Linked DNA regions of Coturnix japonica. The protein of the gene in region 1 purifies or fractionates together with the protein of each later gene. This does not show direct contact. Links are inferred from orthologs where the notes say so. Each region holds a gene or a part of one and is shown in the gene's direction. Other genes may lie near its edges.

Evidence for each region.
Region 2: the proteins of EZH2 (region 1) and YBX1 purify together in Homo sapiens (affinity purification with mass spectrometry, with the first as the bait; 3 studies listed by BioGRID). This does not show direct contact. The link is inferred for Coturnix japonica from reciprocal best matches to the Homo sapiens genes EZH2 and YBX1.
Region 3: the proteins of EZH2 (region 1) and RBBP4 purify together in Homo sapiens (affinity purification with mass spectrometry; 12 studies listed by BioGRID and IntAct, with this or other methods). This does not show direct contact. The link is inferred for Coturnix japonica from reciprocal best matches to the Homo sapiens genes EZH2 and RBBP4.
Region 4: the proteins of EZH2 (region 1) and ARID1A purify together in Homo sapiens (affinity purification with mass spectrometry; 3 studies listed by BioGRID, with this or other methods). This does not show direct contact. The link is inferred for Coturnix japonica from reciprocal best matches to the Homo sapiens genes EZH2 and ARID1A.
Region 5: the proteins of EZH2 (region 1) and MTF2 purify together in Homo sapiens (affinity purification with mass spectrometry; 10 studies listed by BioGRID and IntAct, with this or other methods). This does not show direct contact. The link is inferred for Coturnix japonica from reciprocal best matches to the Homo sapiens genes EZH2 and MTF2.
Region 6: the proteins of EZH2 (region 1) and SMARCA5 purify together in Homo sapiens (affinity purification with mass spectrometry, with the first as the bait; 3 studies listed by BioGRID). This does not show direct contact. The link is inferred for Coturnix japonica from reciprocal best matches to the Homo sapiens genes EZH2 and SMARCA5.
Region 7: the proteins of EZH2 (region 1) and PABPC4 purify together in Homo sapiens (affinity purification with mass spectrometry, with the first as the bait; 3 studies listed by BioGRID). This does not show direct contact. The link is inferred for Coturnix japonica from reciprocal best matches to the Homo sapiens genes EZH2 and PABPC4.

The regions. Positions count from the first base shown.
Region 1 is NC_029517.1:75,422,460-75,426,567, reverse strand, and holds part of EZH2 (histone-lysine N-methyltransferase EZH2), read left to right. Parts: intron 1-1,925; coding exon 1,926-2,017; intron 2,018-2,986; coding exon 2,987-3,227; intron 3,228-3,590; coding exon 3,591-3,760; intron 3,761-4,106; coding exon 4,107-4,108. UniProt on the Homo sapiens protein: Polycomb group (PcG) protein. Catalytic subunit of the PRC2/EED-EZH2 complex, which methylates 'Lys-9' (H3K9me) and 'Lys-27' (H3K27me) of histone H3, leading to transcriptional repression of the affected target gene.
Region 2 is NC_029536.1:5,554,391-5,557,419, reverse strand, and holds the end of YBX1 (Y-box-binding protein 1), read left to right. Parts: coding exon 1-166; intron 167-447; coding exon 448-530; intron 531-622; coding exon 623-869; 3' UTR 870-900; intron 901-1,767; 3' UTR 1,768-2,150; downstream 2,151-3,029. Other genes in the region: claudin-16-like, read right to left, coding at 2,961-3,029. UniProt on the Homo sapiens protein: DNA- and RNA-binding protein involved in various processes, such as translational repression, RNA stabilization, mRNA splicing, DNA repair and transcription regulation.
Region 3 is NC_029538.1:4,586,964-4,591,527, forward strand, and holds the start of RBBP4 (histone-binding protein RBBP4), read left to right. Parts: upstream 1-1,631; 5' UTR 1,632-1,766; coding exon 1,767-1,782; intron 1,783-2,242; coding exon 2,243-2,390; intron 2,391-2,958; coding exon 2,959-3,104; intron 3,105-3,333; coding exon 3,334-3,507; intron 3,508-3,691; coding exon 3,692-3,807; intron 3,808-3,972; coding exon 3,973-4,133; intron 4,134-4,257; coding exon 4,258-4,384; intron 4,385-4,470; coding exon 4,471-4,548; intron 4,549-4,564. Other genes in the region: ZBTB8OS (protein archease), read right to left, coding at 275-362. UniProt on the Homo sapiens protein: Core histone-binding subunit that may target chromatin assembly factors, chromatin remodeling factors and histone deacetylases to their histone substrates in a manner that is regulated by nucleosomal DNA.
Region 4 is NC_029538.1:101,786-106,389, reverse strand, and holds the start of ARID1A (AT-rich interactive domain-containing protein 1A), read left to right. Parts: upstream 1-1,295; coding exon 1,296-2,450; intron 2,451-4,604. UniProt on the Homo sapiens protein: Involved in transcriptional activation and repression of select genes by chromatin remodeling (alteration of DNA-nucleosome topology).
Region 5 is NC_029523.1:12,126,131-12,130,238, reverse strand, and holds part of MTF2 (metal-response element-binding transcription factor 2), read left to right. Parts: intron 1-677; coding exon 678-801; intron 802-1,729; coding exon 1,730-1,797; intron 1,798-2,169; coding exon 2,170-2,340; intron 2,341-3,003; coding exon 3,004-3,112; intron 3,113-3,279; coding exon 3,280-3,338; intron 3,339-3,475; coding exon 3,476-3,580; intron 3,581-4,108. UniProt on the Homo sapiens protein: Polycomb group (PcG) protein that specifically binds histone H3 trimethylated at 'Lys-36' (H3K36me3) and recruits the PRC2 complex, thus enhancing PRC2 H3K27me3 methylation activity.
Region 6 is NC_029519.1:26,874,066-26,878,173, forward strand, and holds part of SMARCA5 (SWI/SNF-related matrix-associated actin-dependent regulator of chromatin subfamily A member 5), read left to right. Parts: intron 1-93; exon of another isoform or gene 94-108; coding exon of another isoform or gene 109-111; intron 112-197; coding exon 198-272; intron 273-3,051; coding exon 3,052-3,218; intron 3,219-3,910; coding exon 3,911-4,011; intron 4,012-4,108. UniProt on the Homo sapiens protein: ATPase that possesses intrinsic ATP-dependent nucleosome-remodeling activity.
Region 7 is NC_029538.1:4,814,284-4,818,893, reverse strand, and holds the start of PABPC4 (polyadenylate-binding protein 4), read left to right. Parts: upstream 1-1,369; 5' UTR 1,370-1,470; intron 1,471-1,840; 5' UTR 1,841-1,869; coding exon 1,870-2,062; intron 2,063-4,610.

The DNA.
Region 1 (4,108 bases):
CTCATTTAACTTATCCTACATATAGAAAATATCAACGCTTCAAGGATATGTGAAACATGTGATGTAATACATAAAAGTTTTAAAATAAATGTTTAGGAAGACTGGAAGAAATGCTAACAGCAGCAACATGTGTAAATTACATTCCTATATTTGCTTGTAATCAGTTTTTACATATCTATGTCAGCATGTGGTAAATTGAAGTCTTTTTGTTTTTCTTGATTTATAAGATCTATCTGGAGAGAAAAAAATGCAATATTTAGTTAAATATTTTATATCCTTTTACACTTTAAGCCCAGCCTTGGAAAAATACATTGTTCCCCCAAGACCCTTATGTGCTCTTGACATTAACAGAGGCATAAAATTATGGAATTTGTCATGAGGTTTCTACACCATCTTCCCTTATGGGAGGGAAGCTTGTAGTGATGGTTTTAAGATATCAGAGAAGCTCCCTTAAGACATACACACTAGCACTGACTTACCTTCCCAGTTGGTCCCAAATCAAGTGCTAGAAGAACTATGTTGTAAATCAATTGCCTGGCAGATATTACTTGAATAGTACTGTGAAAGCTCCTGAAGGCACAATGGTGGATTATTATAGCAAGAAACCTCATGTAGAATCTAGAAATAAGTAGGAAAAGCTATCGTGGTGGAGAAAGGTGTGAGTTCGTTAGAAGAGACCCTCTAATGGGTTTGTACAGGTTAACAGGGGAGAGATTTGTTCTTTCAGTTCAAAAAATAGTACTTCCTGTTCACTGAGTGTTGAAAAACGTAACTATAACTTACAGTTGTTTAACTGTAAGTGTGTTAAAAACTGCAACATAAGTGCATGGGATTAAAATGTTTTCTGAGAGGAGGCTCTTAAGCCTTCATGGAGTGTAGCAGAACTGACAGCTAGTGCTGAGTCTTGTGTTTTATTGTTTTTTGGTTTTTTTTATTAAGCTTCAGTATGCTGACCACTTTTTTTTTTTTTTATTTCCTTGTAGTTGTATGTGCTACTGTTACTGCGTTTCTGGGGGAGAAGTATTTATTGGAGGACTTAAAAATATATATAGAATTACAGAAAACTAAGGATATTATTTTTGAAATCTCTTAATATAATTTGGGGACTTGATTGCGCTATTGTTCCTGTGTGGCTTTAGCAGCAGATTTCCCACATTTTAGTTTAGTGGGGGATTCTAGGGAGTTCCTAATGCTTCCAGTGAAAACATTCTGTTGAGAGGCAAATATCATGTGACAGAAGATGTGGTAGAGACAAGCTCTGGCATGTCTGTGGAGCTTAGTCACTCTGTAGAAGTACTAACGTTGCAATTGTAATGTACCCAGATCGGCATCATTCTAAGTCACTGTTTTGCAACTTGAGTGCTTTACAGTTTCCATCAGTGTACATGAGCAGGTATGTCTGCAGCTGGGAGAGAACTTAGTTTTGGTGCTGCGAACTAATACAGTAAAAATGATCATAAGTCCTTTTCAGTAACTAACATGAAAAATGTGTTATTTGCTTTGTTAAAGTGCATGGAGTTGTTATTTTTTATGTAAACAAGTTAAAAATTGAACATGGGATTCTTACAGTTTGAGAGATGATCATTCAAAGGAGATGCTTGGAATAGTTCTGCTTAACTTGGTAATGGTAATCAAGTTTGTTCTGTTTATCAAAAGGGAAATATAGCAAGTCCTCCCTTGGGATGAGAATCAAATTTGATGTTCACTGATGTTAATGGGCATAGGCAGATGTAGTCATCTACTTTCTTTGTAAGTCAAATGTCAGTAGGTGGCATGTATCTTGACGTTTTTCTATTTTTCTCATTCTTATGCTGTTCTTGGTAAAGCCTTGGTAAATCTTGTGTTCTTATTACTGTTTGAAGTTAGATATCTAATGCATTTTTTTACTTTTAAGATTTGCAAGTGTTATTTTCTTGATTCAACAGCATTCCATGCAACTCCAAATACTTACAAAAGAAAGAATACAGAAACAGCATTAGATAATAAGCCCTGTGGACCGCACTGTTACCAGCATCTGGTAAGATAATTAAAAACTAACTGTAAGAATTTACTAAAGTAGAATTACTTGTAAGTACATCAAGCTGCACTTAGTGTTCGGGTGTGTTATGTATGTAAACATGCTTGTACCTGTAAGCTGCTTGCAGTCAAATGTGTCATCTTCAGTTTTTGTGAGAAAAGCATTAATCACTAAATGAATGTTTGAGTAGGAATAACTTTTGACTCTGTTAGATGTAGCCTGATGTGCTTGTAAGAAGGTAAGATCAGTACTTATTAATAATGTTTCTGCCATTGTGTCCAGTCTAGTCAAAGAACTGGGTTTTAGAGACTTGACTTTCTCAAAAGTGGCCTATCAACTAAAAACTGGACAGTTCGCTGAAGAAGGGTTATTGCCAGAATCTTTTTTTGGTTTGAACCAGTAAGGGGAAACACTTTAAAAAAAACAAAAACAAAAAACAAAGAAAAAAACTAAAAAACAAAAAACAAAGAAAAACCCCTCATACTTCCCTTAAGTGAAACGACATGTCTGATCTTCTAATCTAAAAAACTTCCAATCTGTTATCATATTCCTTTCCAGTAGAAAACAAATTACAATACTGATGGTCTTCTGAATAATGCAGAATGTTTATTGTTTAGGTGCCATGTAAAGAGTTCTTGTGTTATGGAGGGACTCTGTGGAACATTCAGACTACTTATGTCATCTAGGAAGATGAAAACTTACTACTGAATGAATTATTTTTTCACTTGGCAGTGAAAGTGGAACTGAAATAAATAATTGGTAGATGTAGATTTACTCATGATAACATCAGAAGCATTAATGTTCGTAATAGTAAACTTGAACATGGAGAGACCATCAATGTTATGGGTAAATTAACTGGAATTTGTGTTCATGATTAAATTTCTAGAATAGTATGTAGGTATCCCCCACCTCAGGCCACGGGTGAAATTGCTTCTAAACTTGTAATGAAAATCAGTGTTTTGTTTTTAGGAAGGTGCAAAGGAGTTTGCAGCTGCCCTGACTGCTGAGCGTATAAAGACACCACCGAAGCGCCCAGGTGGTCGCCGAAGGGGAAGACTTCCAAATAACACCAGCAGACCTAGCACACCAACAATAAATGTGCTGGAATCAAAAGACACAGACAGTGACAGAGAAGCTGGAATGGAAACTGGAGGAGAAAACAATGATAAAGAGGAAGAAGAAAAGAAAGATGAAACTTCCAGTTCCTCTGGTAAGGCTAGTCAAGGCTTCTACTTGGTTGCAGTGCTTGAGAGCATGAATCCACTTTGTGCAATGCAATTTTAGAAACCATGTATTTGAAACATTTGTAGATCTCTTTAACAAAATGTCCAGATTGTTTCAACTTTGTTTTAGATTTGAGATCTGTAACTTTAGTAGCCAATGTTACCTAGTTCGGGACTTCTCCAAATGAAAGTTACTGTTTTGTTGTAGTGCTTAAATAAATAAAACCAAGAGAACTCTGCACTATTTTAACTATAACTGATTAGGTTAATATGGTGTTTTTAAAGGCTATAGAAACTTCCTGAAATATAACCTTACATCGATTCATACTTTCAATGATTGCTTATTGCAGAAGCAAATTCTAGGTGTCAAACACCAATAAAGATGAAGCCAAATATTGAGCCTCCAGAGAATGTGGAATGGAGTGGTGCAGAAGCCTCGATGTTTAGAGTTCTTATTGGCACCTACTATGATAACTTCTGTGCAATCGCCAGACTAATTGGGACCAAAACATGCAGACAGGTAAGAAGGAATGCAATTACTAAGGATGATAGTGTTTTACTTTTTAGACCTGAAATACAAAACTACTAGTATTAATTACTGAAAAAGGAAAGTAAATTTCCTTGGTTTCCCAAGAATGTGATGATCCAGAATTCATGCTGCAATTATATAGAAGTCAACTTAATTTAAAATTTACAAGAGGCTATAGCTAGTGTATCTCTACTACAGTGACAAAAAATAATCAACCTTAAATATACTGAAAAGATGGGTTCAGTCTGTAAGATGTTGATTGAAGGAAATAATATTACTATAGAAAATGAGCAACTTTCTACTAGTGAGATTTATCATGGATAATATCTCTTGTTAGGT
Region 2 (3,029 bases), on another chromosome or scaffold:
CAGTGAGAGTGGGGAGAAGAACGAAGGAGCAGAGAACATCCCGGAAGGCCAAGCCCAGCAGCGCCGTCCCTACCGCAGGCGGCGGTACCCACCTTACTACATGCGTAGGCCCTACGGGCGTCGACCACAATATTCCAACCCTCCCGTGCAGGGAGAGATAGTGGAGGTAACGCATGTGGTGTGGGTCCTGTGGAGCAGGGCGATAAAACGCAGCTCTGCGGATGCTCGAGATGTGCTCTGTAAGGCTTAGCAGTGAGATAAAATGCCTGAGCAGATGTTGGCACGGTGTTGGGTACAGCTGTTGAAAAGCAGTGTGTTAACTTCTGGTACAAGTAACTGGGCAAAGAGGAAGCTCTGTGTAGTGCACTGAGGCCGCTGTCTGCCTTGCAGCCCTCTGTGTGGTTTGACTGCCTGGCTAAGAACATTTCTTGTCTCGTTGTCTTCCAGGGTGCTGACAACCAAGGTGCAGGAGAACAAGGCAGACCAGTCAGGCAGAACATGTATCGAGGTTACAGACCACGATTCCGCAGGTATGCCGCAGATCAGCTCTTGCTTTAGCCTTGTGCTCTAGCAACACAGCCAGGACATCGCAGTGCTCAGATGCTGCATTGTTAAAGCCCAGCTTGACTTTCAGGGGTCCTCCTCGTCAAAGACAGCCCAGAGAGGATGGAAACGAAGAAGATAAAGAGAACCAAGGGGATGAGACCCAAGGTCAGCAGCCACCTCAACGTCGGTACCGTCGTAACTTCAACTACAGACGCAGACGCCCAGAGAACCCTAAACCACAAGATGGCAAAGAGACGAAGACAGCCGAACCACCAGCTGAGAACACGTCCGCTCCCGAGGCCGAGCAGGGCGGGGCTGAGTAAATACCGGCTTAACATCTCTACCATCATCCGGGTACGTGTTGGGTGCTCTGGGGGGTGTGACTGGACAGTGGGCTCTTTACTTTGTGATGCTTCCCTTTGAGTTCTGCTTGTGTTAATGCACGTTGGAACTGCTCTGCTTGCTGGCTCTGCAGAACAGAACTGAGTGCTGGTTAACTGGGTGGGCTCTGCTACCGGGCTTTAAATTTCCCCGGTGGAATAAATGCATAGAATATTGCTAATCTTTAAACCTCAATCAGTCTCTGCTATGATAGTTCACCCACAAGAAGCATTTTGATGCTGGTGTGGTGACCTGAAAGCATTCTGCTAGGAGAAACAGGTGTGTGAGGATGCTAGCAGCTCTTCAGGCTTGCCAGCATTGTGGCTTTGGTTGCCCTGCCCTGAGGGCTGGGTGCTGGTTGGCTTTAGCACCTCTCCACATCTGTTTCTCATAAATAGATGTTGAGTTTGCAGGAGCATTTTGGTAGGAGCTTCTCACCTGAAAAGGGATACACTTGGTGTTGCATGGGCTGCCCTGTAGGGCTGTGGTACTGCTTGTCTGCAGGGGTGCATGGGGTCCCTACTGAAAACGCTGTCACTGCAGAGCTATTTGCTTATGCTGTCTTATGTAGGCACTGGTTCTTTGCTTTCAAAGGCAGGTATTGGTGCTAAGAGGGTCTGGTGAAGGGTGTTAATGGGTGCCCTTTCTCCTGGATCCCTCTGCTCTGGCTTCTGGTGCAGGCTTCCAGTTTCTATCACTGCAGTATAGGCTGATGGGGAGCTGTGTGTGATAAGATGCGTATGCAAAAACAGAGCATGAATTTAAACTGTAGGTGAGCCTCAACATGCTGAACACATCCACATGACGCCACGTCTGAGATCCTTTATTCCTTTCTTTCAGTTTAGTCATCAAAGAAAAGACTTAAAGAAATGAAGAAGAAAAGAAAATGAAATTCCAGCAATAAGAAATGAACAAAAAGAATTGGAACTGAAGACCTGAAGTGCTTGCTTTTTGCTGTTGACCAGATTACAAGAACTATCTGCATTATCTATGCAGCATGGGGTTTTTATTATTTTTACCTAAAGAAGTCTCCTTTTGGAAACAAGAAACGCGTTTTTTAAAAGTCTGTTTTTTCTCAATACACCTTTAAAGGTTTTTAAATTGTTTCATATATCTGGTCAAGTTGAGATTTTTAAGAACCTCATTTTTAATTTGTAAGAAAAGTACGCCTGATTTTTTCAAGTCAAACTGCAAGCATCTGTTAATAAAGGTCTTAAAGTTAATCACGGCCTGCTCTGGTTCATTCAAACCCACCTCTGTGGAAGCCGAGCAGTTCATTTGTTGCTCAGCAGTTGTGGATTTGAATGTTGGTACTGCTGGGTTTGTGCCCTCAGCTCTATGCGGGTGAAAGGCTCTTAGTCCAGCACATGGAAGTGATGCTTCCATAGGCAAAACAGGAGGAGCAGCGCAATGAATGCACCGCCGGGTCTGCCCATGGACGGCTCTAAGCGCCCTGTGGCTTCCCCTCCTTCCCACTAATGAGCGCTCTGCTTTTATCATGTTAATGCTCGCTCTTCTAATTGCTTTCCGGTGTGCTGGAGCACCAGCCATTAGCGGCCGATGCGTCTGTGTTGTGCTCTATCTCTAAATGCCTTTCAGCGTTTCTGGCTGCCCGGTAGAGCAGCAGCTTCCACCTGTAAGAGCCGCTCTTTGAACCACGGAGCTGTTGGACTGCAGTCAGCACACACAGCACAGGGGCAGAGGCTCGCTGCTGCAGCCACGGGGAGTCAGTGTTGCTCTGTGCTGATGAGGCTTTGCCCTGAATTACTTCAAAGCAACAACAGGGCAATGAGCAGAGCTGCTTTGCTGCTCCCACAGCTGTAGGGTACAACAGGAGCTTAGCACTGTTCATTGCTAAGTTGGGGTGTTGGAAAAGATGACCTCAAAGTGCCCCTTTCAACTCAAACGATTCCATTCCTCAAGGCTTCAGCATCTTCTCTTACTGCGTGACACATTGCTGAGCTGTCCCATGTAGGTGATGGTGCTTTAATGAGGTGGGACCGTCCTTGGCTGGGTGCAGGAGGTGCTGCCCATCACACACGGGAGTTGATGCTGTACATCTTGCTGGTGACAACATGGCACCGAGGTCCCTGGGGATGGCT
Region 3 (4,564 bases), on another chromosome or scaffold:
CTCCTGCTCCGTCCCTCCAACAGACACACACTCTGCTGTGCCCAAGGCAGCCCTTGTGCTGACAGCCACTTAGAAGGCACTTGGGGCAGAGAAGGAGCTGTGTGCAATAACAGCAATTGCAGTTATCTCCGCTCTATTATCCAACGCCAGATGCATCCCACAGCCTGAACACAGACACTGGCACAGTACGAAACCCCACAAGCACCTAAAGAGCTCCTCCCATTTCCCTCTTACACACACACACACACACACACAGTGTATCAGTGTCACTCACATTCGTACTTCTTGGTGAGCGGTGGGTACTTGGCCTTCACAGCCTTCTGCTCCTCCGTCAGGTTGTAGTCCCGCTCCTCGCCTGCCATCGCTGCGCTCACTTCCTGCTCACACTGAACATGGCCACTGCCACTGCAGGGTGTTGCTGGGCTGGACAGGAGAGCTGCTTCCAGCTGGGGCTCTCAGCAGCAGCCGATGGGGAGCAGCTGCACACAGGCTGTGCATGAAAACAAGATTAGAAGCACAGAGTTCAGTGCTGTGCTGCTCACACTGCCGGCACACAGCAGTGACACCCAGCACCGCACCGACAGCGAGCACTGACAGTGTGCAATGCACCAACAGTGTGCACTGAGAGCATGCACCAACAGTGTGCACTGACAGTGTGCAATGCACCAACAGTGTGCACCGAGAGCATGCACCAACAGTGTGCCCTTCAGCCTCTGCAGGGAGGAACCCTGATCCTTCCGTGTGAATCACCCTCCAGCAATAAAATACTGCATCTACGAGGACATAATTCTACCAGCTCTACAGTAAGTTACACGGGTAACTTTGGCTTTGGAGCTTCACTGCACAGGGTACACAGCCTGCTGTGTGTCATGGCACATGATGGGGCACAGCACATTGTTATGGGGCACAGCACCTTATGGGGCACAGCACGTTATGGGGCACAGCACGTTGTGATGGGGCACAGCATGTCGTTATGGGGCACAGCACATTATTATGGGGCACAGCACATTATTATGGGGCACAGCACATCGTTATGGAGCACTTCAATCCCACCCAGTGGATCCCACCAGTCGGTTCCACACCGACTCTCCCTCGCAAACACATCAGACCGGCTGCAGCGCCCCATTAACTTCAGGGTAATTATTTCCCGACATCCCACGTGAGTCCACCGTGGCTTTTCCCATAGGAGCAGCTCTCACTGCCGGCCATGGGACGATCCCACACGGGATCTCCGGGTTCTGTTCGCAGATCAGCACCGAGACCTGCGAGCTGGGAAACGCTCCTGGGAGGGAATAAGGCCGAAAGAGCACAGGGCTGAGTGTGAACGGAGCCACAAACCGGGAACGGGGCGGGTCACAGAGACCCATTAAGCGACCGGTAACCGGTAGGACAGAGCTCAGGGGCAGCTCGGGGCCGGCTCACGGTGCCATCCTGCAGACCCCCCCCCCCCCCGCGCAGACCGCACTCACCGGGGCACTGTCCCTTTAAGAGCCGCCCACCCGCTCCGTCCGGAAATGGCTCCGCGGAAATGGCCGCCCTCACACGTGACCGCCGAGCGCGCTCTCCTGCCCCTCGTTCCCGCCCCTTGCCTCTCTCCGATTGGCGGAAGCCTCCCGGCGGCGGGCGGGGATTGGTCAGTGTTGGCGCGCGAAGGGGTGCGCGGCGCGGGAGCGGCAGGGAGCGGGGGCAGGAAACAATAGAGCCGCGTCCGGAGCGGAGCCAGCAGCGCCCGCCTCGCGCAGCGCAGCCTCATCCCGCCGCCCACAATGGCGGACAAGGAAGGTAAGGCCCGGCGGCGCGGCCTGGGCGCTGCGGCCTTCACTCGGCTCCGAGAGGCCTCAGGCCTCACTGCCCGCCCCCCCCGCCTCCATCGGCCGGCGCCGTGCGCAGTGATGGCGGGGGGGCTCCGGCAGGGGGCGCTGGGCCGTGCCCTGGGGCGGGGGGCGTCCCGTGCGGCCTGCGGGGCGCTGGGGGAAACAGCAGGGACCGGCCTGTTACAACGGGTTACAACGGGTCGCTACGTTGACACTGCGAGGGGCTGCGGGCGGGGGGGGCGGCGTGTCCCGCAGCAACGTTGGGTGATAAACAGCTGCGTGTGGTGGGGCCCGTTATTGAGTGAGGGCCCCGTTATTGAGTGCTCCATTATTGAGTGCCCCGTTATTGAGTGCCCACCCATCTCTGTGTGTGTTGTGCCTGTCCTGATAAACGCTAACATCCCGCATTGCTTTCATGAACCCTTCAGCAGCCTTTGATGACGCAGTGGAAGAACGTGTGATCAACGAGGAGTATAAGATATGGAAGAAGAACACACCCTTCTTATATGACTTGGTAATGACCCACGCTCTGGAGTGGCCCAGCCTGACTGCGCAGTGGCTCCCCGATGTGACGAGGTGAGGGTGCGTTCTGGATGTACTCCTTGCAGAAGTAAGGCTCCGTGTGACTCCTTGTCTCGTCTGCAAACCCCAGAGACACCTTTAATGTGGGGAAAGTGCTGCTTATCACCAAGAAAATGCTTCACGTCTTTGATTTTGATGCTTTTCTTCTTCCAGCTTCGTTCTCCTTTTTGAAATGCAAAGCCCTCCTCCCCACAGAGAACTAAATATAGTTTCACTTTAAGCACTCTTTCATCCTAATCTTCCACAACATTCTGCTTCCAAAGAGTGTATATGCATCTCCAACTGTGCGCTGGGGAGGCTGTTAGAGTCTCTTAAAGGAAGGCAGGGGAACTGCTGGAGGTATCTGGGGGTAGGTGCTGTTATGCTCCAAGAATTGTGATTTGAGATCTTGAGTTGGGAGGAGAGATTCTTCTGGAGGAAGAAATACAGTGTCAGAGCAGGAGAGCAATGGTAGTTTCTAAGGATGTTACAGGTGTCGGAAGCTGTTAGCAGTACATACCATATTCAGCTCAATGTTTGTGTAAACTCCATGTGTTTCTCACCTGAGTTTCTTCTCTCACAGGCCTGAGGGCAAGGATTTCAGCATTCACCGGTTGGTCCTGGGGACTCACACTTCAGATGAACAAAATCATCTCGTGATAGCGAGTGTGCAGCTGCCTAATGATGATGCACAGTTTGATGCCTCACACTACGATAGTGAGAAAGGAGGTAAGGGAGCAAAGATGTCAATCAGGTGGGGCTTAAACTCTGTTTTTCCTCCACTTCTTAATGGTTGAATCCATTTTTCTGCATGCTAAAAGTTCTTAACAATCTAATATTAGCTTTTCTTCTTGCCAGAAGCCTGGATTATGCAATCTGTATTGTGATCTTTGGGCTTCTTAGAGTTATTTGTAAGCAAGACAATGCTTACTTATGTTCTTTATTTTTTCTCCCACAGAGTTTGGAGGCTTTGGGTCTGTTAGCGGAAAAATTGAAATTGAAATCAAGATAAACCATGAGGGAGAAGTGAACAGAGCTCGTTACATGCCACAGAACCCATGCATCATTGCTACAAAGACTCCATCCAGCGATGTCCTCGTCTTCGATTACACCAAACATCCTTCTAAACCAGGTGGTTGGAGCTTTGTCACCTTCATGCTTCAGAGCTACAAAAATAACCACAACAGCCTTTTCTTAAGGTTGATGGGGTGCAAAAGAGGCTGAAAAGTTTTGTGGGTTGCATAGCGTGTAACTTTAATCCTTGATGTGCTGATAGTGATTCTAAGCATCGGAGTTCTTACACTGCCTTTTTACAGACCCTTCTGGAGAGTGTAACCCTGATCTGCGTCTTCGTGGACACCAGAAAGAAGGCTACGGGCTGTCGTGGAACCCAAACCTGAGTGGGCATTTGCTTAGTGCTTCTGATGATCACGTGAGTGCTTTTAAGTGTAGCTGGGGTGCGATCTGCACTTTGTGTCCCTTGACAAAGGTCAGGAATGTTTCTGTGTTTGAGGGGATGGAGGTGGGGGAGTGCAGAGAATTCCTGTCTAAAGATACAATTTTTATTCGTTTTGGTTTTCCCTTTTTTTTTTTAAAGACCATTTGCTTGTGGGATATAAGTGCTGTTCCAAAAGAAGGTAAAGTGGTGGATGCAAAGACCATCTTCACAGGGCATACAGCTGTAGTGGAAGATGTCTCCTGGCACCTGCTGCACGAATCTCTTTTTGGATCTGTTGCTGATGATCAGAAGCTCATGATGTAAGCGGGGTGCTTTCTTTAGAGGCTGAACATCTCAGTCCATTTTGCCTTCCCAGCTGCTCCCTGGTCTGCCCGTAAGGTGGGGTGTAAGCCTTCATTCCAGGTCTGTTCCTTCTGCTTACAGATGGGATACGCGGTCAAACAACACCTCCAAACCCAGCCATTCCGTGGATGCTCACACAGCTGAAGTCAACTGCCTTTCTTTCAATCCCTACAGTGAGTTTATCCTGGCTACAGGATCAGCTGATAAGGTAAATGTTTGTATTGAATTTGGAGTAGGAGTTGGTGTGTCATGTTGGTTACTTGAGGGGAAAAAACTATTTTCTTTCTTTGACAGACTGTCGCGTTATGGGACTTGAGGAACCTAAAGCTGAAGTTGCACTCCTTCGAGTCACATAAAGATGAAATATTTCAGGTATAACAAATTGTCT
Region 4 (4,604 bases), on another chromosome or scaffold:
AATTCTCAGTTCACCTTTTGACAGTTGGGGAGCTCCAGCACCTCATGGTCCTGGAGACTGCGGAGTGGAGCGTTCTGGCCCATTGCTCAACACGTTGTGTCTGGACACATTCAGGTGGTTGTGGTTCTACACATTCAACCACCCCGAGGCAGTTTCCGGCCACCCGCTGCCATCGCTTTGACAGGAGTGGGAACCCGACTTTCTTGGACGTCCGTGTGTGCAGCTATTGCCTTGGCATGCTGCCAAATCTCTTTCCAGAGGGACACGACCAGCAGAGAGGAAATGACAACCCGCAGCACTTAGTGAAGGCTAATTCTAAATGGGATGGTTAGGGACCGGGGAGAGGCGTTTCGTTGACCCGCGGCCCATCTCCTCGCTGAACCTCCAGAGCCGCCACCGAGCAACGCAGCCATGAGCCCGCTCCGCTTTCCCCCAAAACTGGGCTGCGGCTCCTGCGCCCCCGCCGCCTCCGGAGGTGCCCCGGGAAGGTGAGGAAGGCAAGGAAGGCCGCTCCGAGCGAGGTCACGGCTCCTGACCCCCCGCCCCGAGCCGGGCGGTACTGCCAGGGTCGTGCCGCCGCCCGCTGCCCCGGCACCGCCCGCACGCCGGCCCCGGTTCCGCCGCACCGCCCCGCTCTCGGTGCCGGGCTCGGCTCCGCGGATCCGCTGCGGGTTTTGCGTGCGGCAGCCTCCGCCGCGCCGAGCCGCGAGCGGCCGGGGCCGGCCCGCTCCTCCTTTGTGAAGGGGGGGAGGCTCCCGTCCGGGCCGCGCCGCGCTCCGCTCCGGGTTTGGCAGGCGGCCGCGGCGCTGGGTAAAATGGCAGTGCTGAGCCTCGTGTCGGAGTGAGCCCCACTCGGCGGACCAGAGTCGGGAGCTGCCGCGCGGCTCACCCAGCCCGGCCCCACCGCCGCTCGGCCCGGCTCCGGGGACGGCGCCCGCCCGCCCGCTCGCCGTGTTCCCCCCACCCCCCTCCCCCTTCCCTCCCTCCCGCCTCTCCCGCACCGGGAGCCCCGTCCCGGGTCCCCCCCTCCTCCTCCTCCTTCCCCCCACTCTCTCCTCCTCCTCCCCTTTCTCTGCCGGCTGCAACCGAGGAGGTACAGCGGGGCCAGGCCCCGGGAAGCCCAGCCCAGCGGAGCCCTCCCCGCCTCGCCAACCAGGCTGGGGGGGAATGAGCCCCCGCTGCCCTGAAGAGCCCGCCGCCGCCTGAGCGGGGAGCAGCAGAGCAGTGAGGCCTCACGCCGGTCGGCCAGGCAGGGAGCAGCTCGGGGGGGAACCGGTCCGGGGGGGGGGGGGATCATGGCTGCTCAGGTCGCCCCCGCCGCCGCCGCCGCCGCCAGCAGCCTGGGCGCCCCGGCTCCGGCCGAACTGAAGAAAGCGGAGGCGCAGCAGCGGGATTGTCCCCTGGAGGAGGCGGGGGGCGAGGCGGCGGCGGCGGAGCGAGGCGGCGGCGGCGGCGAGAAGCAGGCGGAGAGCGAGGGCCCCCCGGGGAAAGAGCTGCAGGACGGGGCCGAGAGCAACGGAGGGGGCGCAGGGGCCGAGTCCGACCTGAAGAGCTCGAACGGGAACCCGGGCCCCAGGCCCGCCGCCGCCACCCTGAACAATAACCTCCCGGAGCCGCCCGGTGGCGGCGGCGGCGGCAGCAGCGACGGGGTGGGGGCGCCGCAGCAGCAGCAGCCGCCGCAGCAGCCTCCCCCTTCCCACCCGGCCGCCTTGCCCCCGCCAGCCTACGGCTTCGGGCAGCCCTACGGCCGGGGCGCCCAGGCTGCTGCCGCCGCCGCCGCCGCTGCGGCCGCCGCCGCTACCTTCCACCAACATGGCGGACAACAAAGCCCTGGCATGGCAGCGCTGCAGAGCGGGGGCCTGGAGCAGTCTTACCCGGGGCCGGCGGGAGCCCCCGCGGGGCCGCCCCCTCCCCAGAACTCGCACGGCGGCGCCGAGCACGGCTTCCCCAACCACCAGTACAACAACTACTACGCGGCCGGCGCCGGGCGCAGCGCCGGCTCCTACCCGCCTCCCCCCCAGGCCTACGCCCTGAGCTCCCCTCGGGGCAGCGCGCAGAGCTCCGCTCAGGCGGCCGCCGGCGCCAAGTCCCCCGCCGCCGCCTTCCAGCAGCAGCGCTTCGGGGTCATGGGGCCCTCGGCCGCCGGCGGAGCAGGAGGAGGGGGCGCCACCCCTCAGCCCACGGCCACCCCCACCCTCAACCAGCTCCTCACCTCCCCCAGCTCCGCCCGCGGCTATCAGGGCTACCCCGGGGGCGACTATAGCGGCGGGCCGCAGGACGGGGGAGCCGCCGGCAAGGGCCCGGGCGCCGCGGACATGGTCTCGCAGTACGGCGGGGGCAACGGCCAGGGCTGGGCCGCAGCGCCCGGCGGGGCCCCGCCGAGGAGTCACCACGCGCCCATGAGCCCCGGGAGCAGCGGCGGGGGACAGAGCCTCGGCCGGAGCCAGCAGGTAACCGCGAGGCCGCGTGAGGCGGACGGCGCGCCGGGGGGGGGGGACACGGGGCGGAAGGCCGCGGCCGTCGGGCTGGGGATGGGGGCGGCGGGGGAGAGAGGTGCCCTGAGGAGGGTGGTGGTGTGGGGCGGGGGGGGGGAGGACGGGACGGCCCCTCTCCCGTGGCTTCTCCCCGCCGGGTCGGCGCTGCTGGGGAGCTGCCATTGTCTGTGCCTGCTCTCGCTCTAAAATGGCTGCCTCTCTGCCTTTCCTTCCTCCTTCCCCAGCCTTTGTGCGAGGCTCCCGGAGAGCGGCCTCCGTTCCGCCGGGATAAGGGGGGGCGAAACGGCGGTCGTCCCCGGCGGGGAGCGGCCGGGCCCGGCGCGAAGGGGTCGGCGGAGGCGGTGCGGCGGGGATCGGGCGGCGGGCGGCCCGCCTGGTCCAGCGCGGGGTGTCCCCCCCCGGCAGTGCCGCTGCCCCTACTCGCCGCTGCCCCGCTCCGCGCCCCGGGGGCTTCGCTCCCTGCCCGGGGTCGCCCAGGGCCCGCCCGGGTGGCCGCGTCTCGGCCCGGCCCGGAGGGGCCATCTTCCCCCGCGGGAGGCCCGGCGGCCCGAGCCCGTGGCCGGGAGTGCTAGTAAGCGGCTCGGCGATAGGAGCAGTGAGTGCAGATTGCTTTGGTTTGGGATTTGAATTATGGAGGTAAAATCCTTCTGTCAAAGCCAGGAGACAGTTGGTCTTAGGTTGACATCCTATCTGTGATCTGATTGGCTCCCCATCTCCTGCTCTTGGCCATTTATAATTGCCTCTGATGTAATGGTACAACAATCCTGATGAGCTCATAAACTTTTACACTCGGCTTTTCTGCCAGCTCGGACCCAAAGCAGCCCTGCTGCTCGCCACCTCCTCGGCCCCCCACCGAAATTGGCTGTGACCTTGAGGAGAGTCGGCCTTGCAGGAGCGGATCCCTGGCCTGCCTGCCCTGCTGCTTTGTGCCCGAGACAAAAGAAGAGGCGATGGCATTTTGTTTGTACCTTGGGTTTATTTTGCTTGTGATGTTTTATGCAGCCTGGAATAGAGTCTCTGTTGTCAGAACAGTGGCAGGTCTTCTCTGCACAATGGGCTTGCTGTTTATTTTGGTTATGTGACTTTCCCTTCGGTATAAATGATTTCTTTGATGGATCTGAGGGTGCGTTTGTTCCCAACTAATTTTGGCCTTTTTCAAGACCGGGACTGTTTGGATTCTTTCAGCTGGAGGTGTGGGGGTTTCTGCAGCCTTACAAATAAACAAAAAGCCCTACCAAACAGTCGCAACCAATTTTGTGGTGGAAGCATTGAAAATGATTTACCTACTTCAATTAATTGGGGAGCTTCAATATTGATCAGGCCTCGGCTTCTGGTTGTGCATCTCAGGGCATGTTTTGACTTTGAGTGAGCACTGACAACATCTGTCCCCTCTCTGCATTTAAAGGACATGTTGTAGGTCCTCACTTTGTCACAGTACTTCACTTTCTGAAGGAGTATGAATAGGAAATCCAAGCCTGCACATCAGAATGATCATCGTGTGGGGACACTTACCCATTTGCTGGAAATATGGAGGAGCAGGAAGCGTGCCGAGGAGAAAGCAGTACAGTGTGTGCATCAGACATCTTAGATACGGGGATTCTAATATCTGGAAACTTGACTAAAACCAGCTTCCTCTCTGTGTTCAGACACACGTCCCCACGGCCTGTCGTGGCCTTGTGCAGCCTGACAGATGTCCCTCCTCGTTCCATGTGCTCTGCTCTGACTTCAGGCCCTGGGTTAGAGCCATTTGATCCCACGCAGAGTGACATACAGTCTCCAGACTTTCCTTTCTCTCTCAATGCTTGTGTCCACGTGAAAGCTGCTTAATTTTTGTTCTTTGGTTACCTGAAGGCAGTCTCCTTCAGCATCTTGAGTTGCTTACTTGTCATTTCTGTCAAACAGTGCTTTCTAAGAGAGCCAGTCTGTGGTTTTCAGAGTGTCTGATGGTAACTGGTAGTGAGCATCCCATTGTTCAGAGTGAAGGCTGCAGGTCCTCAGAGGTGCGTCCACATGTACCCGTAGGACAGGTGACACAGGTGCTGGGGTGTCTACTTGAACTGACTCTTTGTGGTCTGATTACGTGGATCTTGATAGAATGTGTGCTAAAAT
Region 5 (4,108 bases), on another chromosome or scaffold:
CTTGCTACTGAGTTACCTTGTTGACAACAAGAGTTGCTGTCTTTTGTCATTTCCTGGGTTCTTGTAGAAATGGGCTGTTTTTCTTTCAAGGTTTATTCATAAATGCATGTGTATTTGCACTCGAGTTCTCTTGGGATTTGTTTCTAGATTTGTTCAGTGAAGTTGCACTTAAGTACTTGCTTGTTGTCTATTTAAGATTGAGAGTCCTAAGCAGAATTCCTTTATTCAGGTGCTGTCTTGATGTTAAATTAAGTGAAATGTGTTAAAAGTAAACAGCTTGACATGCCTTATGGTAGTTTACTTGATGAAATTTCATGTTGTAGCTTGAAGTACATCAACTGCAGCTTGTATTAAAAATAATACCAATTTAATAGATATATGTGCTGACAAATTACCTTGCTAAACTTTAGTTCAGTGGAATTCTTATATGAATTCAGAATTGTTTTGGATTTTAAAAGAACGTAATGAGAATGGGAGATGAGGCAGAAATGCATGTATGATATGAAGCAGCAGCCATGTTAGATAGAGAAATGATAGGAGGTAGCATAATGTTTCCTGATTGTTTTATGTTGTGCTTTATTTTTCTAACTATGTTATGCTAATCTTTTTTAAAAAATTATGTCAAAGAAAAGCAATTCAGATTTTTTTTGGTGATTTTGTGTATTTCTGAATTCTAGGGTAGATATAGCACATCTATGCCTTTACAACCTAAGTGTTATTCATAAGAAGAAATACTTTGATTCGGAGCTTGAACTCATGGCATACATAAATGAAAACTGGGATAGATTACATCCTGGTGAGGTAAGCAGTTGGAATGTTCTTTCTTCCCCACCTTTCACCGTGCATGTGTTGGAGACCTATGAACTGTTTTATGTAGGATGTTAAATTCTTTATTACCTTAACATCTGTTCACTCCAAGTGATAAAGAGGTTATCTTCAATTTCCTTGAAGAATTAAGTTTTTTAAGTTGCGTATATTTTTCTGAGCTATAAAATTTCATTTTATTGTTTGCATGGCAGTTTTATTATTTCTTCTTTTTTAATTGTTTCATAGTTCCTTGAATATTTTCATGGGTGTGGACCAGTAAACCTATGCATATAATTGAATACAGAGTATATTTAGTATGAAAACATTAAGGTCTCTAAGGTGTAATACATAACAAATCACTGCACACAAATGGTTCCTCTTTCCTCCCTGTTCCAAGCATGAGTGTGAGCAGTTTGTCTACTGGTCTTAAGGATTTCAACTTTTTTCAGCTATTTGGGCTGTTATCAGGAAAATTTATAGAAAATCTTTTTCCCCAAGAGGAATGATATAGGTAGTCTTTTGGCTCTGCATTTAAGAAATTTTTGTTGGAGTGACATTGGCATGTGGCTGTTGAAGTGTGAGCTTCTTTCTTGTATAAGAAAGATACTGAGGTGCTCATGTTAGTGATCTTGGGAAGGCAGGCTGCTATTCTTCTTGTGTACTAAAACAATTTGAAATTATTTCTTGTACTACTTAAACAGAAAATTTAGGTTCTTTGACCTGGGTTTGTCATTTCTGTGAATGTGAATCACGTAACAGATGGAGTTTAAATAACTAATTTTAGGGTTAGGTAGTTTCTACAGGTAATTTTTTTTTAAATGTACTTCACATCTAAATTGGTAGATTTGATGACTCGGAGTTACTGGAAGCTTTCTATTACTAAAGAATTAAATTGGATAAGTAATTTCTTAATTCTCCACAGCTGGCAGATACACCAAAATCTGAAAGATATGAGCATGTACTGGAGGCATTAAATGATTACAAGACCATGTAAGTCGCTGGTATTTTTTTCTTAAATGCTCGCAGCTTTGTTATTTGTAGCTGTCAGTTTCCTTTGCTCAGTTTCTCTGATAATCACTGTGGCTGTGTTAACGTTGACATTTTGAATACTGTTTCTGTTTCAGAGTATAACACCCATTTGAGTGGATCACAGATCATGAGAAAAAAATTGTTTTAATTTCCATCCTCTTCCCAGTTCTCATTCTGTATTTCAGATTGAGGATTGTGTTAGTGGGAAAAGGTGAATAAAATAGCATTAGGATGAGTATTTTAATTTGCTTAATTTGTTTTGCATGAATACTTTATTTTAAAAGCTGCTTTCCCTGGATTCGGAATGTTAACAATGAATTTAAAATCACCTAGGTTTATGTCTGGAAAAGAAATAAAGAAAAAGAAGCATTTGTTTGGCTTGAGAATTCGTGTTCCTCCTGTGCCACCAAATGCTGCTCTAAAGGCTGAGAAAGAACCAGAAGGAACTTCTCATGAATTCAAAATTAAAGGCAGAAAATCATCTAAACCAATCCCTGATGTGAGGTAAAATAATCCCATGATTTTTTAGAAATGTTGTGATAAATAGGAACTGCTGTAAGTACTTTGGTGCCTGTGAAAGAAGTCCTGTTTGTTGTTTAATGTACACTTCTAAATAACTGTTAAATTGGGCTGTTTGTGTGCTTTAAAAGTACTTTAAACTTGTAAACTGATGTAGCTGCATGTTCTCCTTAAAGGTGACTATGAGAGCAGAGTATGCAAGCTTATTAGTTTTCTATTATGAGCCTTTTGAAAAACAAAACACAAACCCAAACAACCATTGTGACATTTGGCAGTGAGAACAATACAAGCTGTCCTAACTTTGCTGCCACTGGGGGGAAAAAAAAAGTCCTTTCCGGAGCTTTTATGCAATGCTACTAACTAGGTTTCTAAATAGGAAATATGATATGCAGTTCTAGCTTGTGGTAGTAGATTTGATGTTTCTTTAACCAACACTTGTTCATTCCTCTTCAAGATTAGGGAACCGGTAATGTCACTAGAAAGAATGTTATGTGTGTTATTTTAAAGGCAAATTATTTAGCTTTTATATGAGAGTTTTGATTTGCCAGGATCTCATTTAGCACAATGTGTATTCATTGCCAAAGGAAAGCATTTATTCTTTGAAAATTATCTTCAATAATACAGAAAAAAATATAAATTTTCTTCTAGGGAATTAAGTAATGGTATAGAAAGAAAGGGGAAAAAAAAATCAGTAGGTCGTCCACCTGGTCCCTATACGAGAAAAATGATTCACAAAACTCCAGAGTCGTCTCCTCTGGTAAGGTTTTGGATATGTTTCTTTTATTTTCTCTAACTGGATTATCATTTTTGAAGAAAAATATAATCAGTTAATCTAAATCATGATATTCCTCTCCCCATTTGCCCTCAAACAAAGCTGAATAAGCAATTAAAACTTAAACTGAAGCACTCTTCCTTTTTTCATAGGATGCTGAACCGGTTCCAGTGATAGAGACCCCAGCCTTGGAATTACCCTGCTCTGTTGGGTAAATTAAAAACACACTAAAAAAGCTTAAGCTATTTTAACATAGCATGTCATTTATTTGTTTACTTCTGAAATGTCAACTCAATTTTTACTCTAAGATTACTTTCATTACATGGCAACCCTGTTATCTTACATCAGGAAATCCGATGGAACTGCACATTCATCCAATACCTCAGATGTGGAATCCACAGGTGCTGCCAGTATAAAAGAAACTACCTCATCTAGCATATCCAGACATTATAGGTAACAGCTGAATTACTCTATCTACTATATCGATTAAGGGTTTAATATGTTAATTTTCACGAGATTTTTGAAGTGGAGACACAAAGCAAGTAGTTCAGTGGTACTTTACCTGCAATGGGCTGAAGTTACTGAAAGTGTATGGGAATTATCTTGCCAAAAATGACTTCTGATGTTCTGTGTGTGGTTTCTAAAAACCTGAGGTTGTATTTTGGCTTACTTCAACTAAACTTGAGCCAGATACTTCCAGAGAGATTGTATTTCAACAAGCTTTAAGAAGATTATCACTTGCATACGAGAGAGGCTCAGAACAGCATCTCTCTTTGAGAGAAGACAAAACAAAAAGGCAGTTTTCCAGTCATCTGCAGTCTAGTCACTGCCGGTGATGTGTGATGGGTTCTTCTATTTGTTTTTGTTTTCAATTGAAGCATTGGCAAAGCAAAGATAGAAGATAAGGAGACTGATGCAAGTTGTGGGACAACTATAGTAGATCTGAAACAGAGATAGGAGTATTCCAAAATTTCTAGGAGA
Region 6 (4,108 bases), on another chromosome or scaffold:
GACACCCTGCGGCAGGGATCTTTGATCCAGCCCCGGGTCACATTACAGTAACAGGAGGCTAACTGCATCAGAGCAGCAAAAGGTGGATGTGCCGGCTGATGTGGATAGATGGTAATTTGCAGCGAGCTTATTCTTTTCTATATAGGTATGTTTTCTTATTCCGGAAATAAGTTTTTTTTAATTTTTTCTCCTATTAGGAATCTTTTAATGATGCATCACCAGGAAAACCAAAAGAAATCTCTGAAGCAGATCCTACATATGAAGAGAAAATGGTATGTAACACTGAGAAATCCATACAGCTGTCCTGTCTTAAGCACTTGTCAGAATGGACTTAGTGTTCTGCTCTTTTGAAATCTGGCTTTGTAAACCTTTGTTGGGTCATTCAGAAATATCTCAGTAATTTAAAACAAACAACCCCTTCCTCTCTGCCCCCCTCCCCACACATACATACACACACAAGAAAACCCCACAGCATTTTGTTTGGTGTTTCCCTGTGGTGTTCTGTGGGAATAACTATGAACGTGTTTTGGTGTTCTTGGAAACATTGTCGGAGAAGCTTTGAAGTGCGTACAAGAAGGCTTACAAGAATCGTGTAATGAGAATTATTCCAGTGTCTTAAACTTAAAAAGCGTAATGAAAAGGAATTGGTCACATTGCTTTTGATGTTGAGTAGAGAGTTGTAGACAAGGAGGAGGGCAAAGAGTTTAGCATTCAATGTCTCAGTCAGAAGGATCTGTTGGTTCCTAGATGGCTGCTACTTCAGTTTCTTCAGTATATGGCATCATTTGAAGGCTAGGATCTTTCACGTGTCACTGTTTAGCACAGGAAAATAATTCCAGTTTTGTTTTTGAACTGCAGGAGTAGAGTCCTCTGTAGGAAAAGTACATTAATTTTAATGTGAGGAGAGGAAAATCAGTTTTAAAAAAGGGAGGGAGGGCATAAGGCTTTGAGGAGTCACTGTGTTCATTCTCAGTTGAAATGTACTCTGGTGGGGGCACTTCAGAGTAGGGAGTTTCTTTCAAGCAGTGCAGTATATGAGCAAAGTAAATAAAAGCCAGCTTTGAAAATACACAGGAGGCTGAGAAGAGGTTTGCTGTGAAGTGTGAGTGGTGCTGACTGTAAGCCTTCTCCAGCTCTTCAGCCCTTTCACATTGTTTAGACTGAAAGGGATTTTATTAGCTTTTCAGAAACCCAATTTGTTCCTTATGAAGCTTCAGTTTAGATTCCTTAAACTTGAAAACAGGTAGTTCCATGTCTCAGATTAGATAGGAGGAAACATCCTTTGTTTCCTTTCACGATATCCCAACTGTAGGAGATGCAACCTTCCACTCCTTACCGTTGTATCACATTTTCTTTCTCTGTTCCTTCCTGTTTTCCTGCTCCTAATCCCAGAGATCCCTAATGCCTGTGACTACATGTGGAATTTCTTTATAGCAAAGCGAAACTGATTCTTGTAATCTGCTACTTCCTGTGTTTCTTCTTAGCACTGAAAATAACCCAGTCTTCTGCTGAATTGTTTGTGCTACTTCCTAGAAGAAGGCAAACTTGGGTTTGTCTCATCCAGGCTCTAAATAGGCACACTGTTAAGGAAGATCGTATTTTACTGTAAAAACAGTCAGAAGATGCACTGCAAAAGAAAACAGGAGAAGTTTCTATCTCTGTTGGTAGAAGAATAGCTCAAGATTGTGTAGTGCAACCTACTGTCTGTGTCCTGCCTTAAAGACACAGACAACGTTTGTTATCTTGTTACCTGAAGCACCTTGAAAATGGTTGTGGTGTATTTGTGCTCTGCCAAAAATTATGGCTATTTCCTTGCTAACATGTTAGAACAAGGAAGCTTCTCGAATGCAGTTTGTATTTCTTATCTTTTGTGCTCCCAGTGAAACAAATAAGGGTTGGCAATAAGGCAAATAAGACAATAAGATCCCAGCTAGTTTAGAAACAGTAATAAACAGAAATGATCTTTGAGGAATAAACAGAAACCGTTCATTGGCTGTGGAATTGAGCTGTGTCAGTCAAGCTATAACTGTGGTTAGAGTGTCTCTAACTCCTCTGTAGCACAGAAAGGATTTTATTGTCTCATCTCCTCTCATCCCATCTTTCTGTCTTTCATGTAGCACAGGATCTGTTTCAAGAGTTGAATATACAGAGGGCTGGCACTGTTCTTGCCAAAGTCTGGAGCATGTTCCTTTTTACCAAGAAATGTGACTTCCTATAACTGTATGTTGCTAAATACCAGGTTATGTTGTGGCAGCTGGCAGAAGGTCTGAGTGGTTGCTTTTAAGCTTGGAGCTGTCTTCTGTCTCAATTGCCTATTCTCGAGTTCCTGCAAACTCAGGATACTTGGAAGAGACGTTAATTCTAAAAAGAACCTGTCTCAAAGGACCTAAACCTTTTAGGTATTGTCTCCTGTCATCTTTATTTGTTCAGCAAAGATGGTGAGCAAAGGGTGTACTCAGTCATCTTAGGCTGAGCATATGTAACAGCTCTTCGTTGCTGAAATTGGTTTACTGGCTTTAGCCATGGGCTTTTCTGCTATCCCCAGCCCTTTTTCATGCCAATTGTAATACTTATCTGACACTACACGGTGGTCATTATCTCACTAAGCAGCCAGGATGCTAATGTGGTAGAAAAGAGAATGGTTGTTGCCAGGTGGGTGAGGCGAATGAGTTTGATGAAGAATCCTGTGCGTGTTGGATGGGTGTACATCTCTTGGAATAGGACCATAATTTTTGCTGGGAGGAGGTTGTTAAAGGGGCTCTACTGCTTTGCTTGGTGACACTCACATGCTCTTAGTGCCAGTCAGATTTCAGTCTTAATGCAGGTTCGTTTGACAGCTTTGATCCTAACATGTAGCAGCAGCTGGCCTTGACTTAGTGAAAGAATCTGTCAGCAACAGCTACATTGCTGAAATTAATCATCTCTTTTTTGTTATCATAGCTATGTATTTGAAGATACAGGAATCTGTATTGTTCAAAAAGCATTTGTTGTCTTTTAAATGAATGCATATTGTAACGTCTCACACTTCTGCTTAATTTCCCTTATCAACAGCAAACAGACAGAGCAAACAGATTTGAGTATCTGTTGAAGCAGACTGAGCTGTTTGCTCACTTCATTCAGCCTGCTGCTCAGAAAACTCCTACTTCACCTTTGAAAATGAAACCAGGACGTCCGCGAATAAAGAAGGATGAAAAGCAGAACTTGCTGTCAGTTGGCGAGTGAGTGATGACATGTAGACCAGCTTGTACTGTAATTAAGGATTTTATTGTGCTTTAGAAGCGTAAGTTAACACTGTCAGCCTTTGTCCTGTTTGGAGGTGTTTTACACTGTACAATTGTGGTGTTTTTTTCCCCCCAACTACCCACTTGTAAATTGTCAAAGAATTCTAGGAGTTACAAGGAATCTGTGATGGCAAAGTACTATCGCAATTTAAAGTATTCCAGTACCAAGGAAAGCTGGGGCAGAAGAGTAAAGCAGTCTTGGCTGTAATTTGTAAGAGTTCACAGGTAACACTGTGTGTCCTAGAGGCACCTTGGAAATCACATCCACAAAAGTGGATTGCCTTCATGGCAGCGTGTATGTCTGCACTACTCCTGCAGCTTCTGGCATATGTTGCAGAACCTTGAATCACAGGTGTCATTTCTTGCCTTGTAGTTCCAGACCAGTACTGGTGTGCAGTGTCTTTTGTGTTTTAGCCCTTTCTAGTCACTTTGCCCTAACACATGACCTTGTTCACAATGTGAGGCATCCTATCATTAAGAAGCTCTTGATCTAAAGAACTAAATTATTTCAATTCATCAGCTTACCTTAAGAGTTCTCTTGCAAGAAGCTTCTTTAGGTGCTCACGTGTATTGCAGACCAATTAAATTTTGGAATCGTTCTGAACAAATCTTCTTTTCTGCACTTTCAGCTATCGCCATCGTAGAACAGAACAGGAAGAAGATGAAGAGCTGTTAACAGAAAGCTCCAAGACAACGAATGTCTGCACTCGGTTTGAAGAATCTCCATCATGTGTGTTTCCTCTTTTATTTTTCTCCCCTCCTTCACCCAAAGTGCTTTACCCTTCAAAAGTTAAGCTTGAAACTCAAACTTCATGCTACTCAATGAG
Region 7 (4,610 bases), on another chromosome or scaffold:
GTGCTGCTCAGTGTGCCAGAGCGGCAGCAAACAGCCCAGCCTCCCTCTGTTAGAGTCACAGCTGTGACATCCAGCAAAGGTGGTAAATAAAGTCTTTCCAGCCCCTGTTGGTGTGAGATGCAGTGTTGGTGTGCAGCTGTTCTGCCAGTCTGGATGCTGGGATGACTGCTGGCGTTGCAGCACATGAGCTTTGTTGAGGTGTAGTGTAAGGGAACATCCCCAGCAGGAACGCTGCTTGTGGTGGCTGCTCCCGTGACTTCTTACTTTGCAAACCACTGCATGAGCTGAGATCAGCAGGGATCTCATGGCTCTCACCCTGAGGTTGGCAATAATCCATGGCTTGAGCACAGCTCGTTTCATTTAGCTCCCAGCATCCACAGAAATGCCTTGGGACGCGCTGAGACCAGTCCAGCCAGACTGCGGGGCTGCCCTGTGTCTGCTGACCCTCTGTGAGCAGAACCAGAGTCACCTCTCGGCTCCGGGCTGTGGGAAGAGCTGAGAGCAGCCCCTGTTCAGCGGGGAGGATCCTCAGCGATCCCGGCCGTGAAAGAGGCTGCGAGAATTTCCCGGGGAACGGTGAAAATTCAACTTCCTTTCCCATAACTCGTTCTCGCTCCAAAACGCCTTTCCAAACCGCCCATAAATCCTCGCCTTAAGTGCCGTGTTGGGAATTGCTGGAAGGGAGCAACTGCAGCTGCGAGGAGGAAGGCAGCATCCGTCTGGAGTCAGAGGGAGCGATAATGGGGCCATTGAGCGCAGCCAGCCCCGGTGCCCGGCAGCCCAGACGCGGTGGGAGGTGGCGGGGGGGTCCAGCCCCGCATGGCTCGTTTTGGGGCGGCTGTTCACCCACAGCCCCGCGGGGGTAAAAGCAAAGCGGGGACTGCGGGAACCGCTTCCTGCGTGCCGGGATCAGGCGGTGGGAGGGCAGCGCTCCAGCCCCGCGGGGTTTTCCCCCCGCAGCAGCGTTTCGGTCGCAGTGGAGGGTGAGGGATGGAGCTTCTTTTCCCAGGGTTTTTCTAAGATCAAACATCTCCGGTAACACATCCCGGCAACGTTTGATCTGCCCTGTAGGGGAAATCCCCAAAGTCCCCCGAGCATCCTCGTTCTTCGGGCTACAAACACCATGAGCAGCCCGAGGGGACGCAGGGCTGTGCCTGCTGCGGTGCGGACGGGGCTGTGGGCGGCACTCAGCGATGCTCAGCCCCTCACGGTGCCGGTTTCCCGTCCGTTCCGTCCCGCCGTGTCTCGGTGCGGTTCCGCCGCCCTCTGCCGGTCCCTCCCGCAGCGGAGCAGCCCCGATCCGGACGCCCCGGTCTCGGTCCTCCCAGCCGCAGGGCGGCGCTGTAGCGGATGTGGCGCCGCAGGGGCCGCTCCCTCCGTCCCGCCGCACGCGGCCCCGCACGGACCGGGCCGGATATAAAGGGCAGCGCGGTGTGAGCCGCCCCTTCTGTGCCCGCCGGGCCGCAGCGCGTGAGTGGGGCCGGGCACCGGGACGGGGCGGGGAGCGGGGCACGGAGCGGGGCACGGAGCGGGGCACGGAGCGGGGCACGGAGCGGGGCAGGGCGGCTGCGGCACGGTCCGGTCCGATCCCGGCTGCCGCGTGGGGCTGCGGCCCGTCGGGGCCGGTTGTGGGGCTGAGCCTCGCGGGGACGGGGCGGTTTGAAGCTCCGGGTTGGGGCGGGTTGTGGGTGTCGGAGGCCGCGGGTTGTGGCTCTATGGCCAAACAGCCTGAAAACGGCCCGTGCGGGGCCCGGAGCTCCGCGCTGTGAGCCGGGCCGGGCTGTGAGCGGGGCTCGGTCCGCCCTGACGGAGGTTCTTCTCTCTCTCTCTCTCCCCGCAGACGCCCCATCCACGCCGAGCGGTCCGGGCATGAACGCGGCGGGCGGCAGTTACCCCATGGCCTCGCTGTACGTGGGCGACCTGCACCCCGACGTGACCGAGGCCATGCTGTACGAGAAGTTCAGCCCCGCCGGGCCCATCCTCTCCATCCGCGTGTGCCGCGATATGATCACACGCCGCTCCCTCGGATACGCCTACGTCAACTTCCAGCAGCCGGCGGACGGTACGTGGAGCAGCCGGGGGGCTCCGAGCCGTGTCCTCCCTTCTTGGCGTTCACCCGCTGTGTCTGTGCCTCTCAAACAGCCTCACGGCTCTCAGACATTCAAACACAGTTTATCAGGATCTCCACCTGCTCGGGGGTGCCCCCCCAAAGCACTGGAGGTGCCAGCTGTTCTGTGTACCTGGCACAGCTGGCTAATGAGCCCCAGTTGGCTGCTTTCTGCCCTCACCCTCTGGCTGCTCACCTGCTTCCCTTCACACCTGGGAGGGCTGATGGCTGCTGTATGACAATCTGCAGTGCTGTTCTTGAGCAGCTCATTGTGCAATGCACTGTGCTGCCTCCTGTGCAGGGTCCGTGCTGCTTTACTCTGGCCAGATTGTTTCTAGTAGTTCCATTTGGCACCTGATTCAGTAGATGCTCCAGTGCTAAAGCAGTTGGAAGCATGAAAGATGGGACAGAAAAGGTCTTTGTGAATGTGTTTTTTTTTTTTTTCTGGAAGAAAAGTAGGTCAGTATTTTCTGCCCTTGTTCTGAGAGCCTTTACTTGTTGCCTGGTGCACATTTACTGCTCTTTGCTGTGATTTAGCAGTCTCTATATATAGACATCTCCAGAACAGACAGGATTCAAAATCAGTTCATAACAGCCCAGACTTGACCAGCCAGTAACCTCTCCCGTAGCCTGTGATTGGCCATCCTGCCTTTGAGTTTTACAGAGAGCAGATAGCAGACTTCCACAGGGTAATAAATACTTTGCCTTCAGGTCACAGCCTTCACAGTGTGTAGAAATGTCATCACAGAGCTGTGCTCCTGCAAGCCAGCAGAGCCTCTGAGCTCTCAGCTGATTTGATGTGAGCTGATGGTGACTGTACCGTCCTGGTTGCTGTCCTCTTTCCCGGTTCAGAATGCCTTCTGTGTTCTTAGAGTAGAGAAGACCCCTATCATGTAGGTGTAGGTGTGATGTTAAAAGGGAAGAGTAGCTAGTTGTAAATGCTTATGGTATCAGGAAAAACTCCCAAACAAATAGGAAGACAGCTGGTCTCCCCATGTGTTTCAAGGTAAACTTTTATGGTAATAAATAGGCATGAGTTTAGAGGGATGTTGCATCATTCTGGGCTCTTGGAGAAGCAGCAGACATTTTAGGAAGCCCCAGCACATGAAGTGATACTTTGACAGAGTAACTGGTGTCCTGTTACCGGTAGGTCTTACAAGGTCAAGTGACTTAAACCTTATCTTTGAGTTACTATTGGGAGGGAGGGAGAAATCCGCAAACTCTTCTGCCTCCACAAAGAGATCTGGGTCAGAAAGGTCCTTCCTGATGTAGTGAACAGCAGCATGAAAAGGGATAGTTTGTATTTCCTGGATACCTTTAGTGGAAGTAGGAGCACTTTGTAAATCTGAAGAGTTGTCAGATCCTATTAACCTTTGGGTGGGAAATAGGATTCTCTCCTTACTGTCTAGAGGAGCTGAGCTGTTTACAAGTCAGGTAGCAGCCAGAACGTTGCTGTCCTTTAGGGCTACCAGGAGATCACTGTAATCGTATCCTGAATTTCTGTGTTTCCAGAACTCCTGCATCTAAACTGGTTCAGGGCTTGCATTTTTCTTGTTTTTTCACAGCTGATGGTGTGATGCTTTACCCTGAAGGGGTTATTTTTGGACATGCATTGCTTGATGGTCTGCAGGGAGGTTATTTTTAGTGAAAATGAGCTCTGCTGCCTTCAGTTGAGGTTTGGTGCATGGTGAGCAGTGAATGCTCAGTGCTGGGTCTGTCCTGTTCTGATGGGCAGGTTAAGGAAACGCTTTGAAGTTTTGGCTGGTTCAGACTTTGCCATGGTTGTTAATATTTATTCTTCTTAACTGTAAGTGGAAAGAAAACAAACACATTTCATTTGGGAGGGGGAAAAAAAAAGCTGTTTCCTTTTAAATGTGCTCCTCATGCAGTTCAGTTGTGTTCCCGGGTTTTATAACATTGACAGTTATGACAACTCAGATAATCATGGAGAGAAACTTCAATGTGGCCATAGAGATAAGCTGTTCTGGCAGTACAGAGAACAGTGCGTGTTTCCCAAGCCAAGAAGGAACCCGGGGCTGGGATTAGATAACTGTCTCTAAGCAAAGAGGTGCAGAAGGGTATAGATAAACTTGTCCTTCCTTCTTAAAGGAGAGATGGCAGAGTAAGAAAGGCATGCAGTGTAAAGCATGTGTGGAGTTAAAAGGAAGGAGTGGTTAGGTACATAAGCTTCATTGCTAGCAACATTTTGTTATACTTCAGTGATGAAGGGATTGAAAGGGACAGGCATCAAGTATGTTGGTTAACCTTGCTAGTTTTAAGTGGCTAAATTTGCACTGTTTTTGTTGTCAGGTCTTTATTACCCTGTGACACAATCAAGAGCACAGAGGTCTGCAGAGCAGCTGATAAAACTCCTTGTGCTGAGGTTCATGGGAGTGAATCCTGGTGCACGGTATCTCTTTATGCTGCTCAGTCACAGTGGCCAGTTCCAGTATTGTGTTAGCTCTGTGTCATGGAGCCTAGCCTGTGAGACTAATTACTTTGA